2 linked regions of the Drosophila melanogaster genome follow. Changing the gene in region 1 together with any one later gene gives a genetic interaction. Each region holds a gene or a part of one and is shown on either strand. Other genes may lie near its edges.

What was found.
Region 2: of Aldh-III (region 1) and bigmax, changing one suppresses a phenotype caused by changing the other (phenotypic suppression), as found in Drosophila melanogaster (one study listed by BioGRID).

The regions. Positions count from the first base shown.
Region 1 is NT_033778.4:7,471,865-7,480,501, reverse strand, and holds the start of Aldh-III (aldehyde dehydrogenase type III), read left to right. Parts: upstream 1-3,339; 5' UTR 3,340-4,255; intron 4,256-4,942; 5' UTR 4,943-5,007; coding exon 5,008-5,062; intron 5,063-5,121; coding exon 5,122-5,160; intron 5,161-5,842; exon of another isoform or gene 5,843-5,930; intron 5,931-6,371; exon of another isoform or gene 6,372-6,658; coding exon 6,659-6,780; intron 6,781-7,155; coding exon 7,156-7,214; intron 7,215-8,637.
Region 2 is NT_033777.3:27,285,572-27,293,245, reverse strand, and holds bigmax (bigmax), read left to right. Parts: upstream 1-4,719; 5' UTR 4,720-4,776; coding exon 4,777-4,918; intron 4,919-5,060; coding exon 5,061-5,461; intron 5,462-5,526; coding exon 5,527-5,748; 3' UTR 5,749-5,880; downstream 5,881-7,674. Other genes in the region: CG3348 (uncharacterized protein), read left to right, coding at 1,290-1,586; Hmu (hemomucin), read right to left, coding at 2,113-3,229, 3,566-3,866, 3,926-4,131, 4,201-4,316; CG3368 (uncharacterized protein), read right to left, coding at 5,931-7,160, 7,219-7,674.

The sequences.
Region 1 (8,637 bases):
AATACACCTACGATTAATTCTAAAGCAAACAAAATGCTCATATACACGTAGCTACTAATGTAATAAAAAGAACACTAAACGAATCCAAAACTTAAATCAGGTATTCACATTTTTTTCGTATTACTTAGACTAAGATAAAGCGAGTCGGCGAGCCGCCAGCCTGACTAAATGACTAAAATCATCGTGAGATGATTTCAAAGATTTTTCAAAGATATAAGGAGGATGTAAGGAGGAGCGAGCGTTGCAAGACCCACATATGTAACTATTTACTAAGCCACGTTTTATAACAAACATAACAACAAATCGATCGACGATGCTAAAGCAAACGGAATGAACTCTTATCAAAATACAATTTTGAGTAATACTTTTAAAACGACAAATGCAAAAAACAAAAAAAAAAAAAAAAAAAAAAAAAAAGCAATTCTCGGCCAGAGCAGAGAAACGATTTCACTACCAACTAAAAAGATCTTTAAAATTACGTACTATGCATACATACACATATATATTTTGACGCGATCATTTAGCCATTAAGTTTCTAAGAGAACAACACCCACGATTATAACTAAATTTGAAAGCATTTCTCATTTGGAAATTATGAACATAAACATACGCATACGCAACGCATAAGCATACATACATACATACATAAATACACGTACATAACATATGTAATAATTATGGAGCAATTGAGTACAAAACGAGTACAAATTTAAATTATAAGCCAGATCGGAGGACACACACGGACACACACCGCTTAAGTTAAACCATACACGGAGCAGTTGAAATATTGATAGGCCAGCTACTGGTTTCGCATAGCAAGTACAGCATGTACTCATATATTCATATTCATATTCATATTCATATTCGAGCGGAGGACTGGACTCAGCGAAATAGCCAGCATACTAACCACACATATAAGCATAGTCGCAGTACATACATACATACATAGTTACTTAACATAGACTAGCCTAGACTAGCCCGCAAAACTATACATCTACATATATATCTAGGGCAAATGATTACCAAATTACAAATTACCAAAATCCCTCCTAGCCCGCTAATCTAAATCTCATCTAGTTTGATTTGCTCTCGATAGATAGGCGAGATCGCGTTTGGCACACCCAAAAAGCATCTCAAGCATTTTCACCCACTCAGCATTCTGCATTCTGCAATCTGCAATCTGCATTCAGCAGTATTCAGCATTCAGCATCAGCGTACATACATTCATATGTAGGGGCGTGCGGGTACTAGGTACACCCACCAGTAAGCAGCTATTAAGTCCGAGTAAGGCGATAAATCGAAGTCTAGGAAATCTACCAAATCAAGCGACGGATTCAATAACGAGTTGCAGTTTAAAATTGTAATTGTGTAGTAGTGGAAAGCGAGGAGGAGGTCAGAAACAAGCGCGGACCACGGGTGCGCCACCACCTGGTGGCTGCGTGGTCTGGCACTTTTCTATATACATGCATACACATACATATTTATATACCCGAATATATATATATATATATATACAAGCGTACATAGGTGTGGACTTGACGAGACAAGAGTAAGAGTATATTTTATACGATAAACAAATTTTATAACATATTTAATAATAAATTATACACTAATAATTGTGGACACTGCTCTGCGTTTTTTTCTATCTCACTTGAACACTTGAGTTCCACAGCGCAAGCCTAAAGATAGGCTACTGTATCTCACGGGTGCATAAGAGTTCAACTAGCTAATGGTTCCATATGAATGCTTACAATGGATTGGTTGAATTGAATTGAAATTGAATGGGAACAATCAATATATTTCTGGGTTTTGAAGCCAATCTAAGGTAAGTAACGTACTCCCGGTTGGAGCTCGAAAAACTGAGCGAAGATGTGGATTGCATACGATCGTTCAATGAATCTTAGAATGGATTGATTGAATACCTCGATATGTAATCATGATTGTGATTGAAATTGATTCGGAGCAATTACTTCAAGTCATTCTACATATCTGGTTATTAAAGCCAATCTTAAGTCAATTATGGGTTTCAAACGTAATTGAAACATTATGATACCTTCGAATTGGTTGATAGAATGATTAATTTCAATCTTAGTTACTTTCTGACACAAAGATAAGGCTTTAGCCCATAGATATTTACTTCTCAAATGCCAGCATCTTTAGCTGCCTCGTTTAATGGGTGATGCCGTCACGCGGACCCGGAACCTGGGTCAAGGCCACGCTTCCATCTCCATAGAGCCCACATACATGCGACGCAAATGGGTTGCGGGCATTGTCGAAAAAGTGCCGAGCGGCCATTAGAATGACAAAAGGAATCGCTAAGTACGCCGCTGGGCATAATGAGACTTGGCGAGGCAACTGAAAAGTTGGAATACTATTTGGAATCGCATCAATTGCGTGACTACAATTGCGGCAGCTTTGTGTGCAAAGAGCACCATTCGAAATCACTTTTACAATTGTTTGCTGGCCGTAAAGTTGGGCAAAGCGAGCCAAAGTCCACCGCCAGCTGGTAGCGACCAGCTAATTTCAGTGGCGAGAACAGGTAATTACGGCATTAGAATCCGGACTGATATGCCAATTGGCAGGTTTACTGGACTAAACGCGATCTGTTTAATGGATCTCAGCTCTCGATCTCAAGCAGACGACGTCTGGCACTGAGGTTTTTGTCCGGATCTCATGGTCAGGGTGCGAAGCTGTCCGCTGTGATTCGATGCAAGTGAATACTTATCAATAACCGGTTATTTATTAGCCGTCACTTCACTTGCTGGCTTCTGCCGCAAAACAGCTGCTCGAAATAACAAACACCTGAAAGGCAAATAGTTTATTGTTTACGGGACGATCTTTAGCCTGGCTCGCCCTATTCCTAATTGGCTAGGGCATCGGGTACAGGCTGCACTGCCTAAATAGAACTGATGTCAAATCTCAAATTAAAACTACCTTCATTACAGTCATAATTTCTGGTCAGTAGTTATATCTTGTGCCCTTAACTTTGCTTCTAAATAGCATTTAAAGAATGTAACACTTTTATAAGAGTTTTTTTTTTGCTGTAGCACAGATTTGTTACAACTTTACTTCATGATAAAAAAAAACGAGTCTAGTTGACGAACCCAATAAGTTGCCATGAGCAACTATCAAAAATGTGGATTTAATTTGAGGAAAAACAGATTTTCGCAGGCGCCCAGTTTGTAAATTGGCAGTTGGTGGTTCCAGTTTTTCCAATTAGTGCCACTCTTTTGCAATGTGACAAACGCCTTTTAAACGGCGTGTTCGTTGCACAGAAGCCGGACTGTATCGTCATTCGGATTAGTAGAGAGGTGGCTGGCATCCATCACCATTATCTGGTGACTTTGGGCCGGGAATGCGTGTGCATCTGCGACCTGTGATTAGCGCCGAAGACCCCCATTAAGAAATTCAAATCAAAAGTCGAGATTTGAGATTTAAGATTCGAGATTCGAGATAATCAAGAACGCGAAGAAAACTGAAACTGGAAAAGCGACGACGACTGCGGGTACGGGCCAACTTGGAGCGCTTAGCCGGGCTTAGACGTGTTTCGAGCGCGGCGGCGTCAGGTGAATCCGAGATTCAATCCTAATTCGAATTCGAATCCGAGTGCCCGGTGCGTGTTCAATACGCTTTTGAATACAGCGACTTGTTTGCTGGCTAATTTTTTTTTTTCGAGTGGCGGGCTACGCATACAAATTAGACCAGCACATAGTGTCCATGTGTAATTAAGCGACCCGATTCACTGTAAGCCGCTCCAGCCGAAGTGTGGTCGAGTGCATCGGTCCGGCTTTCCGCCTCCAGATACACGCGGCGGTGGTCAACGGCCAGTGGCCACTTGGCAGTGCTCCGCCACTCAAATCAGTTGGCTTTCGGGCGTTATCGCGCGCAGATTTGCTTGGATTTAAACCAAAGTACCGGATAGTGGTTATTTAATCTACACTCGCGCTTATTAGCCAACTGCGTTGACAATTAGCCGGCCCAGATGCTGGAATGAAAGTGAAACTGGAGACGGAAAACCGAAAACCAAATCCAGTCGAAGTCGGTTACATGATAAACGCCATGTGAATATGTTGTCATACAGAAACGTGATCCCCTGTGCTAATCAATTCAATTCGCATTGAATCATCGAGTGTGTTGGCCAACAGCCATATTTGCATGGTTGAACTTGAAACTGATTACTGATTATGGAGTGCTGGTGCATTTGGGTGTTTTTTCATTGATATATTGTTGTTTCAGCTTTTAAAGACTTCAAATCGTAAGCTTGAATTGTATACGATTTGTTTGATCATTTGCAATTATTTTATTATGTTTATCCCCAAGTCAAAATGTACAAATATTTATGAAAAGGGATCAAACACAGCTGCACTTTCAAATTAATAAAGAAATTGTCGAGTGTCACGACTATTAGATATCCATTACTGAGCGCGAAGAATTCTACTAATAAATACGCAGTATCCAACTTGCTTGCTATTGTAGTTTCCCAGAATTTCTTTTACATTTGATCCCTATAAACTTGGAAATTCTATTAAAAATTCGACTTATAGAAATCCATATTTTTACAAGTATTGTTGTAAACTATTATTCGTAAGGAAGTGCAAAGTTGTGCCATAAACAATGGCGGAAAAAATATTACAATCTAATATGAATACTAGAAATATTGATCATCTATTGTAATATTTCTTGTTTAGACAATATTTCAATCTTTAGTTCACCTTAACCAATTGGCGGGCCAAAAAGCTTGTGTAAGTCAATGTGGAATTTGTGAAGGATTTCGCCAGCTGGTTATTTAATTGATTTTCCCACGAGGACAACTTGACAAATTGACATTGATTTTCATTTGGTTTGCTTAGTTAAGTGTGCAATCTTCTTGTTCGGACATTTGCCACTTAATAGTTAGTAGTTAACCACATTTACCACATTCGTTTCCTGGGAATCCCTACAGCTTTTGTGCTATTTAAAAGTGTCCCCAATAGCGAATTTATAACCAAACAAAAAAACACTACGATAATGTTTGACAACGCGATTAAACCTCATCCGGAGGCCAATGGAGCTCCAATAAATGGTAAGCTAATGAAAGTCTTACTTATCAAAATGCCCGATTTTATAGAGTTTCCGTTAAAGCAGCAGGAGATCGGCCGATAACTACTGTCATTAATATTGGTGAGTCAAAAAGTTCGTATGCCACAAAAGCTTTGCATACAATGTGTATAAAAATAGAAGCAGTACTCAGAGGGTGAAATCTAGTTTTTCCTGTACAGCTTAAAACTTGATCAAAAACTAAGGGGTTTTTAAATTATATGCATTATTGTAAAGTCCAATAATCTTAATAATCTTAATAAGCGTGAAAGCTTTTATAGGACACGCATGTAACATCATTATTTAGCTAAAAATAACTTAAAATCCTCAAACACATTTAGTTTCACTCATGGTGACTCCGTCATATATTGTTTAATCGCACTCATTGTTATATGTCATTTGTTTAATCGGAGTCACCGTTACCAAGCACTATTATCGGAAAGTATAGAAGTGCGATATATAAACAAATGCGTTCGGTTTAAAGTGGGGAGTGTACTATGTCCAACTAATATTAACACCATTGATATTAGCAGATTAGGCTGGAATAACGTTCAGAATGCTCTGAACTTGTGTTAGCCGAGTCCAAAACATACTGATTCGTTATCGGAGCGACACGCTTGACTTTCCCCATCCGAAATCCAGTGTCCATATCAGTTGGTATATAGCTTATGTATGTACATTCTGAACGAAATACACATGCATTCAGTTCTGATAATGAATGCCAGCGGCCCTAGTCGAGTATATGTTCGGTTCGTGGAGTAACAATCCACTCAGTGTCGACCGGCATTTGCGTTGAAAAGGTGTGTTCTGTTCTCGGAGAGATTAAAATAGCGAATTCAGAGTGTTTTTTTTGGGTAAGCCAGCTGTTTTCTGTGCACCGACTGGATATGCTTATTTATGGTGCAATTAGGTTGCGCCATTTAGTGAACAACCAGTTGTTTTCGTTGGAAACGAGTATTACTCTTTTGCAGTTGTGCCAAAATAAATAAGTGTTTGAAAAACTGTTACGTGTTTGCATAGTTTAAGTTTACCGCTATGGAAAGTTACAGACTGAACGACATTAGCAAACACTGGATTAGCAGTGACATGAACCAAGATTAACTTAACACTTACTATTGTTTTACAAATAAAACGAAAACTTAAATGTTTACGCCAATAGACTGTAGTTACATCCCGATAATTTTTAAAGAACCACTTTAAACTTTATTATTGTCGAAATTTACGACTGTAGCTCGTCTTATATTAGGCGCCCTTTGGCACTTTTTAGCTACAAATTCGAAGCCCAGCGCGGTCACACTGGCAGCAAGTTTCGCATTCAGATCCGATCCAAATCTTGAAATATACAAGTTTTGTTGTCGCGGTGAACGGTTGTCAAAGCGCGTCAACTGCATGCGTTTATATCTTTTTTCTTCCTGCTGACGGTACCGAAAAGTACACATAATTTTAACAACAAACAGAAGACGCACAACCGAAACAACGGTAGATGCGTAACGAACGAAAGTGAAAGAGTGTCAGTGTTGTTTACATTTGCCGTGCCACCCGCTCCCGCTCACGACCCCTTTCCCTTTCTCCTGAAACGCAGAACCAGAACCAGAAACCGAAAGTCCAATTGGGATCTTCACATCACAACCGGAAAGTCAACAACAACAACCCGAGCAGCTCCAATCCGAATCCGAGTCCGACAGAATGGCCAATTTTGACGATGTGAGTGTCCAATTAGGCAATTTATTGCGAGCGAGAGAAAGAGATGTGTAACGATTATTAACTTTAACTGACACATATGTTGTTAAATGTATGAACGAAACACACACAGACGAACTCCGTGCACGTAACGAACATTAAGCGCCTTATTTTAGTTTGATTTTGATTTGATTTTTATTTGAATTTTTCGCCGCTTCGTCGTTATCCTCCCGTCTGTATGCGTGTTGCATGTTGCTATTGCTATTGCGTATGTGAAATCGCAACTGCCTCCTACGAACAACCATGACAACAACTACAACATCTACAACAACGTTGGTCGGACTGGAAACTCCAATTGGGATGGCTAACGAAAACAACAAAAACAACAACAACGACCAGACGTTGCAACGCGCCCGCCTTGCCTTTTCCAGTGGAAAGACCAGGAATGTCAGCTTTCGGTGAGTTTACTTTTATTTCGGCACTTTATTCGCTTGCTGTCAGTTAATTTTTTGCAAAGGCTCCTCGTCTTGGCCAACATATTGCGTTAAAACTGCCGCTTGAGTGGAGATTGTGTCATATATTTCGCTGATTACATTGGTTGGGAGGATCTGGAAAGTGGAAGTGGGTTAACTTCCAGCAAGCGGGACTGGAATTAAAATCGCCGTGGAAGTTATTTGAAATCTTCACATCTTCATTCTATTCCGCTTTTGTTTTGAATTTCATTGATTTGTGATTTAATTTTTTTTTTAATTTATTTAACTCGATGCGGAGTTTTGTATAATTTGACATTTATCTCTTCTTTGGCTTTAGATGACTTCTTTTAATCGCATAGTTTGATTTTAATATCCACTTGGAAGGTACATATATTTTTATCATTTGTAGTAATGGGCAATATTTTAACATTTTAATATATGTACATTATTTTCCATGCGGCTTGGAGGTAGGATTAAGATTTCAGGCATTAAGTCCCCACACCGAGCTTTTATGCGAAGTGATTTCCCAATCCGCTGGCCACCGTATCTCTGTTTGCTTTTATGACTGGGGGGCCATTACAAAGCCATTGCGGCAGGGCAGTCAGCGAACTAACTATGTACGTACATACATACGATCTCGGCTCGGGGGGCATAATAACTTTTCATGGCTATTGTTGCATTGGGGCCAACGAAAGGCGGAGATCTCAATCCGATCCCACCGACTTTCACACGCAATGCAAGCTTTGACCTTTGAGCCACACGCCCTCGAGCTTTTCACGCCGCCGTAGTACATGCGTGATAAGAACCAAAGATAGTGGAGCAGAGATGCTAAAGTCTAGTTGTATTCCGTTCCGATATGCATTAATGAGCCCGCGGCGGAACTTTGACTCCGTCAAGTGGTTGTACTTTGAATGCAATTAGACGGCGGCGGACGGAATTGTGGCATGTAACCGGAATAATTGCCATTTCCACGTCCCGACCGACCGAAGCAGCACTCATCCGCCAATGGGCATGATCGCGAACTCATACCTCATATACGTTTATGGATATGCTAATGGACAAAGAGGCCGAGGGAAATAGAGACGGAGCAGAGACCGACGAAAACAGGCGATATACCCATACCCGCCGATATCTCGGTATTTTGAGTGCGAAGTGTGAAACGGAAGTGCGGAGGAATCTCAGCCCAAGGCTGCTGGCCGCTGGCCGTTTGGTTCCATGATCTTTCAAATAGATCCGGACAAACGAACACGTTCTATCGCCGTCTGCGCCTCCGGCTACTTCTACTCCACTAATATAATCAGCTAGCTATTCAAATAGATTTGCCGAACAAGAACCACAGAAAATCTTACGACTTGAAAAGTTGGTTTGTATGGTATGATGTACATATGTACAACTGTTGGACTTTGAT
Region 2 (7,674 bases), on another chromosome or scaffold:
GCCAAGACATTTGGGGCTCAACGAAATTCAACCACCGCGTGATCACGTGAATGAAGTTCGCCAATCAATTAATGGCCCGTACGCCTACGAAACCGGAGTGAAAAACGTCTGGGCTCGAGATGATTACCTCGTTAGGCGATAAGGTGTCACAGGCGATAAGGTGCTGGCGGCAATTGCCTTTATTTATCGCGAAAAGGTGACACATGGACTCCAGCCGAGGGGAAAGTTACTGACTAGCAGCGCCTAGAATGAGGGGCTCGTCATGCGCACCACACGGCGGATGCGTGATCTGGCCGGGCTAAGCCTCCAACTACTTGATTGCTGGGGTTTATTGACAGTCGATACAAGTGTGTGCGAACTATATATATGCATTTGTTGACATTTTCCGTTGGCGTCATTGCTCAGAAGGCACTGGCGGCACTCTGACCTCAACCCTCGAAAATTAGGCAGGAAACAAATACACGCAAAGAAACTAAGCAGCACTTTAATTGTAAATAGGAATTTCCTTTATTTTAACAATTAACGAACAAACTGTTAAAGATTTATACATACAAGCTGCATGTATAAAATTTATAAAATAAGTTAAACATACGAGCTACATTTTTTTTTTCAGTGCACTAAGCGGTTTCAACCTGCGAGCATGTTACCTAATTTTTTCTCCAAATATGTTTGCGCTCGTTTTATGTGCGAAATTTACGGCATACCGACAGTCTGCGCTGGGAGTATTCCCCCGGCCACGACGACGACACGTGACCACGACCGGGCATCGGGTGGCCTGGCGGTCTTAGCCACCCAGAGACCGACCCGCACCCACCCTTTGGGACGCCTCAAGATCAAGGCGATTCAGTGCAAATTCTTGGACCTCATACATAGATACAAAGTGCTCGTTGCCCGACAACGAAAAAGCGTTGGAATCGGATCGGGAATCGGCCCTCGAACCAGAGTCTAGCAACGCTATCTATGACCAAAGCAGCGGACGGCGGCGTCGACGTCGTCCGACGAAATGGTATTTAAGCGGGAAATGATTCGGTATGACAAATCAGAAGTGAAATAACTCAGCAACAGCGAGCAACAGGCTGCTAGCCGTTAAAAATAACTAACGACCAAGAAATAGCACAAGGTAAGCGAAAAGGGAGAGTTTAATTCAGTAAAATATGTGGGGCAAATGCCTTTGCCAAGAATTATAGTAAATTTATGCGACGATCACGCTCTGACATCGTGGACTAATGCCCAGTTCCGGTTTTGATTTCAGAATTCCCCAAAAAACCGAACCCAATCACTTGAACAAAATGCCTACCGCATCAGCACATCTGCCCATTCAGAAGCGCCGGCCGCATGAGCACAATGGCGAGCCCAGCTGCCAGGGTCTAGATGAGGTGAACCGCATGTTCCGGAATTACTGGGATCCCACGGCCTACTGGGTGTGCGATAAGCAGGGCACACGGGCTCGTCTCCAGCGCTGTCCGCAGTCGCAGCTCTACTCCGAGGAACTCGGCCGTTGCGTCCACTATGCCGATTGGGCCTGGACGGATCCCAAGGAGCCGGCTGGCCGAGCCAAGATCAGTCAATCGGTGTCCACAAATTAGTGATATCTTACGGCTAAACTTAATTTAATGCTAGTCTAAGACAACCAACCTCATTAGGCTTACGTCTATTTTTACAAAATACCTTTATTTTTAATGAAAATAAGAAAAAAAATCAGTACAAAATCAAAAGTTGCTCGAGTTTAACAATTTTGGGGCATTGTTTACTATTAACTTAGCTACATGGAATGCACTTCCGGTTGTAAAAAGGAATGGAATGTTTATAGTGCCTAAGCAAAACAGAATTATATGTTAGTCTACAACATATAAAGCGTTGCCCGTCGAGGATCATATGAGCAAGGCCCTCGGCTAGTCTGAATTTAGCTACCTTTCGACTAAAATTAACTGGTTTCGACAGCCTGAGTTGGGGCATGATAAATAAGAAACCTTTGAAAATTCCCCAAAAGTGGTTGAGATGTTGGAGGGAAAAAGATAATAATCCTAATAGGTTTTGACTGCGTGAAGAAACTAATCTCGCGTCCGGGAATATGCCCGATTAACTCAGGAGGAAGCTGATGCGTCTGCGATCTTAAAGCTCCACATTGACGCCTTGCTTGTTGATGACCTTGAGCTTCTCCTTCTTGGGTGGCTGTGTGTCCGAGGGGATATCCTCCTCAACGGGCGCGGGTTTCTCAGGCACTGTGCGCTTGACCTTCGGTTTAGAAGGCTCTGGAGTAGGAGTAGTAGGAGTAGTAGTAGTAGTTGGCTTAGGAGTAGTGGTGGTTGTTGTAGTCGTAGATGGCTTAGCTGTCGGCGGCTTAGTAGTTGTTGGCTTCGGCGTGGTTGTCGTAGTGGTGGTAGTGGTCGTTGGCTTCTTGGTTGTCGTTGTGGTAGTGGGCTTTGGCGTGGTTGTAGTAGTTGTCGTCTTGGTAGTGGGTTTCGGCGTGGTAGTTGTCGTTGTGGTAGTGGGTTTCGGAGTGGTGGTGCTAGGAGCCGCCTTGGGTTTAGGAGTGGCTTTGCTGGGTGGCACACCAATGGACGCCTCCAAGCCCTCGCCCTCGACGCGAACATTGCGCACCTTCAGCGTGGGCTGCTTGGCCTTTGGCGACTTGACACGCGCCAGGTACTGATTGGTGGGGGAGCCCAAGAACAAGAAGTCCTGGAACTCCAGGACGTGTGATACCGTGGCGGCCGACTTGTCGAAGCCATGCAGCGAGCCCACAATGTTGCCGTTCCAGTCCACACGCACGACAGTCGTTCGCTTGGGCGCCAGCACAGTGATGCTCTCCATGTGTCCCACGAAGTGAACGAATCGCTGCGAGAACTTGTTCGGATATACGCTGTTCAAGTAGCGGAAGGGCAGCTCGAACAAAGCCAGCATGCGGGCCAGGAACAGGCGCACGCTGGGGAAGCGAGTGAACAGGGTGAAGCCGTTGGGATGCTCGCTATCCGCGCTCTGGACCAATGGCACCCAGATGCCCTCGGCGTCGGGTGTCAGGTTATCGGGCAAACCGGGCAGTCCGTCGACGAACACCTCGCTCTGACCGGCCTTCGCTCCCTTCAGGTGATACTTTGTCAGACGCATCGCTCCGGTTTCGGCTACCACGATGAAGTCCTCGTTGGGACTGAGGGCCAATCCATTGGCGAAAGCCAGTTCGTCCAGCAGCACCTCGCTAACATTCTTCGAGCGATTGTATTTGAAGAGACTGGAACGTAGAAGAAAGCAAAGGCCGTTAGAGTAACCATAAGACCAGATCGAGAAACCGGTTTGCGTTCGTCTTACAGTCATACTTCTGTAACTTGTCCCTTAATTATAAGAATTAAGCTAACTTCAGTAAGCGTGGACTCTTAATTGAGATTAATTAAGTGACTCCCTCGATTCCTCCGCTACAAACATTTGAAATAATCTTAAATGGGTCACAAAACACGTTTTATAAAGAAATACATTGTAATGGGGTCCCACTGTAGCCCTATTCCGAATAGCTATCACTTTGAATTCTAGCAATATTAGACAGTGTCGCTATAATTTGCGATGAACTCACCGGCCGGAGGGGTTAGCAAAGCTGGCAAAGACGAGGTCTTCGATGGTGAAGTCCGACGAGGAGTCCGTCCAGTAGACGTCGCCCTCTTTGCTCACGGTCACGCCGTTGAAAATCTTGGCAGGGCGGTTGATGGACTTGCCGGCAAGCTCCTGGGCGGGCGAGACCAGCAGAGTCTTCTTATTGGTGCCCAGGTCCACCTGCCACAGGCCGTAGTAGGCGTCGGCGATGATGAGGTTGTTGCCCTGCGTATCAAAGGCCAGTCCCAGCGGACGGCCGCACCGGGACTCCTCGTAGATGTCCTCTGCAAGGGGATTACTATTATAAAATGAAATTCCCTTTATAGGACTCGAAAATACGCACCGCAGGGCTGGCCGATCTTGGTGACATGCGTGACATGGTTGGACGTTAGCTTGATGACCTCACCGCCGTGGATGCCGGTGTAGATCTCGTTGTTGCGGGCTATCAGGCACTCCGGGCCGTAGACCCGCCCCTCCAGCAGTCGCTCCGCTCCCTCCAGGTGAAAGTTCGATTCCAGCGCACCCTTCAGGTCTTTGGGCGGGGTCACACTGTACGAAGTGGCGATTTCTCCAAGGATTAACACGGGAATTACGTCAATTGAAACGGGCGGCACTTACATATAGTCCTTGAAGGGGAAGGTGGTGCGCGGCGGCAGACCGGGCATTAGGATGATGAGGAGGAAGAAAATCATGAAGTTCATGATCCTCACGCGCAGCGCATATAGCAGGCCCATGATTGATTCCTTGTGCGTCCGCCGATCACAAATTACAGCCCAAAAACCCGCTAAATTTAAGCAATAACCCCGAAGAAAGCGACACGACGGCAAAGTTCAACAAGAAAAAAACGTAAAAGTCATCATCCGGACCGGTAGAGGTGGCCGAAATATCGATATGACTATCATTCGTTGATTGAACGTACCACATCTTACACTCTGCTACAAAAATTAATTGTATGCAGTTTCTAAAAACTATGTTATTAGGGATGCAAATTATAACAAGCATAGTTGGTTGAATAACATCATAATTAAAGTACCTGTTAGCCTGGTACCTGATAACTGTTTTAAAAATTCCTTAAAACTATCGCACAATGTTGAATGTGACCATCAGATACCGAAGGCTTTTCGCGCTACCTTGCGACAGTCACACCGCTGCTAGTGTTTTTGTTTTGGGAATTCCAAAACGTCGCAGTTGACGATGAGCGATAATAACAACGCGTTGGCCACCAAGGAAGACGTTTTCGGCATGGAGCACGACCAGGACCACACCAGCAAGCACTACTCGCGGTGCAGCAGTGCGGGCAGCACGCACACTCCGAACTCCTCGGCGCACAATTCAGGTGGGCGAACGCTGGTCAAGATCGGTCACGCTGATCGGTCAAGAGTGCGGGGCGGGGGCAGCTGATAAAGCAGTGGCATTGAATTACTCGCTATCAGCAGCATTTTATTACATTGTACTCATGTTTCGGTTCTGTATCGCAGACGACGACGACGATAGCGGCGATGCGCGCCATTCCGCGGCCGCCAATTCCACGCTGAGTTACAAGGAGCGGAGAAGGGAGGCGCACACCCAGGCGGAGCAGAAGCGGCGCGATGCCATTAAGAAGGGCTACGACAGTCTGCAGGAGCTGGTGCCGCGCTGCCAGCCCAACGACTCCTCCGGCTACAAGCTCAGCAAGGCTCTGATCCTGCAGAAGTCCATCGAATACATTGGCTACCTTAACCAGCAGAAACTCAAGCAGGAGGACGAGGGATCGGCGCTACAAAAGGAGGTAACAGCGTTACGGATCATTAAGAACGGCTATGAGAACATGCTACAGCATCAGCAGGCGAATCCAGGGCCGGAGGAGGCACGACTCACCGATGAGGCCAAGTTTCAAGTGGTAAGTATGGAGCGCTTACCTCTATTATAACCTCTAGAATCGCCACCCACCACCCTCCTCCGTAGTTCCAGGCCATTATGGAGGAAATGTTCGAGACATTTCAACACATACCCATGGAGAACTTTAAGCAGCTGACCACCGGCATTATCCCCTGGCTGGAGGAGCACTGCAAGCCGCACATCCTGCGCAACATACTCAGTCGTACCTTGCAGCAAATGGCGCAGGAGGCTATGGAAAAACAGGAACTTCAGGCCATGGAGCAGGAGTCGAGCGAGGGTTTCAGCTGATCGCGCGGTTAGTTCATATTCTCATTGGTTATTTTAGAAATCCCTGTTTGGTAGATACTTTCGTTACGTTTACTGCGTACAAACATTAAATGCGTCATTTGAATAGTTGTAAAAGCGTTGACAAGGAAAGATAACTTTTTGGCTTAATGATTAAAGATTAGATAAAACTAGATTTGCTAATGCTAGCCGAGAGACTCGACGAGAGCCGCTTTATCCGCACTACCCAGCTGGCCTAGCAGTTCCAGCAGCACATTCCGTGTGTACGGCTTGAAGCGACGAACTCGCTCAGTGACATCCAGCGCGGTGAGCAGCGCTTCAAGGAATCCCTCCAGACGTCCCGCGCTCCACACATGACGTGCTTCGTGCTTTAGTTTCAGCACGCCCGATGTCAGCGTGTAAATCAGTCCCTCGTAGAAGTTCTCCTCCTCCAGATTCGCGGCCAACTTGGCGCTGGCCAGCAGCGCCGCCGGCAGATCGCAGCGGAATTCGTGCGACCGCACAAAGCAGGTGGCCGCCAGTTGGCGGACCTGATCACATTTGTGCCGCAACAAATGCCAACTGAGTCGGCGGAAGCGAATGAGCAGGGGATTTGGCTCTTTCCCGCCCGACGTACGCAAGTGCTCGACCTTGGACAAGAAGGCCAGAAAGAGTATGATGGATGACGTGACCTCCTGGCGATCACAGCACCTCAGCATGTGCTCGCAAGCCTTGGGCAGCAAGCAGCCCAATTCGTCGTAGTCCAGCTCACTGGGTTCCCAGGCGGGTCGTGTGTCAAACTCTGTAGCTTGGCGCTGGCCGACCAGCTTGCCCAGATTGGCGCCAAAGAGTTGAAGTGCCGCATTCGAAATGGTCCATTCGGGGTTGGTGATGTGCTCCATGGCCACCAGCAGAATCTCATTGTAGTACTTGCTCATAGCTGGCCTCAGTTCTGTGTCGCGCACAAGAACGCAAAGGTAATGCAGTACCAATGCCTCCCAGCGATCGTGATTGCTATCGAGACAAACAGTCTCCGCGGTTTGGTTTTCATTTAGCCTCTTAAGAATCTGCTGCACAGCGCGATGGAGCAGCAGCCGCTGTCGTGGATTATCGTTCTTCAGCACGTGAAGGAACATTATGGCGAAGCCGGCACCACGTCGTGTGGTGCTCACTTGACGGCTTTCAGTCAGCAGCTCTCGCTCTAGGCAGTCGTGAAGCATTTGGAATCCCGAATCGCAGCTGTCTAAGCTACTGGTGATGGCACGGGTAAGTCTGCCAATGCTCAAGCCGGCCGCCTCTATGGCTCCTTTGTGCCGGCAAAGCGTCAAAACGGAAACATTAATATTGAGGCAACGACGCAGAGTCTCGGTGTTAACTGTTTTGGCAGACGTTTGCAATTGGTAACACCCAATGCTGGTGGCCAGATCGCAACAGCCCTGCAGAAGGATAAACAAATGATAAGTTTATCAAGAGTTAAGAAATATATCTACGCACCTTCAACGTTAACCAGAAGCTCATCAGTAAGTACTTTCGACAAGCCTCTTCCTCCCCATCACACTTGAAGGAGCTTTCGCTGACCAGCAGCTGGAGACTCTCGTCCATGTCCTGGAAACTGGCTGCTGTGGCTGCCTCTTCCTGTCGCCGGGCGTTGGCCACATTGAGGAACTTGAGAATGCCGCTGAGAATTCTCTCTAGCAATGGCAACAAATCCTCCAGAGGCGTCTCCACTGCCAAGCCAGCCTTGACCACCTCGTCCAAGGCGCAAAGATAGCCAAAGAGATGTCCTCCGCTCTTGGCGGTCTGCAAAGGATCTTCGAAGAAGGGATCTAATTTACCGGTAAGCCTTTTCAGGCACTCATCAAATATCTTTGATCCAGCTTGCTCTTTTGTAACCGCCAACTGTGCGTAGAGGGAAACCAAGGAGCATTGGTCCATATCAGACGTGTGGCA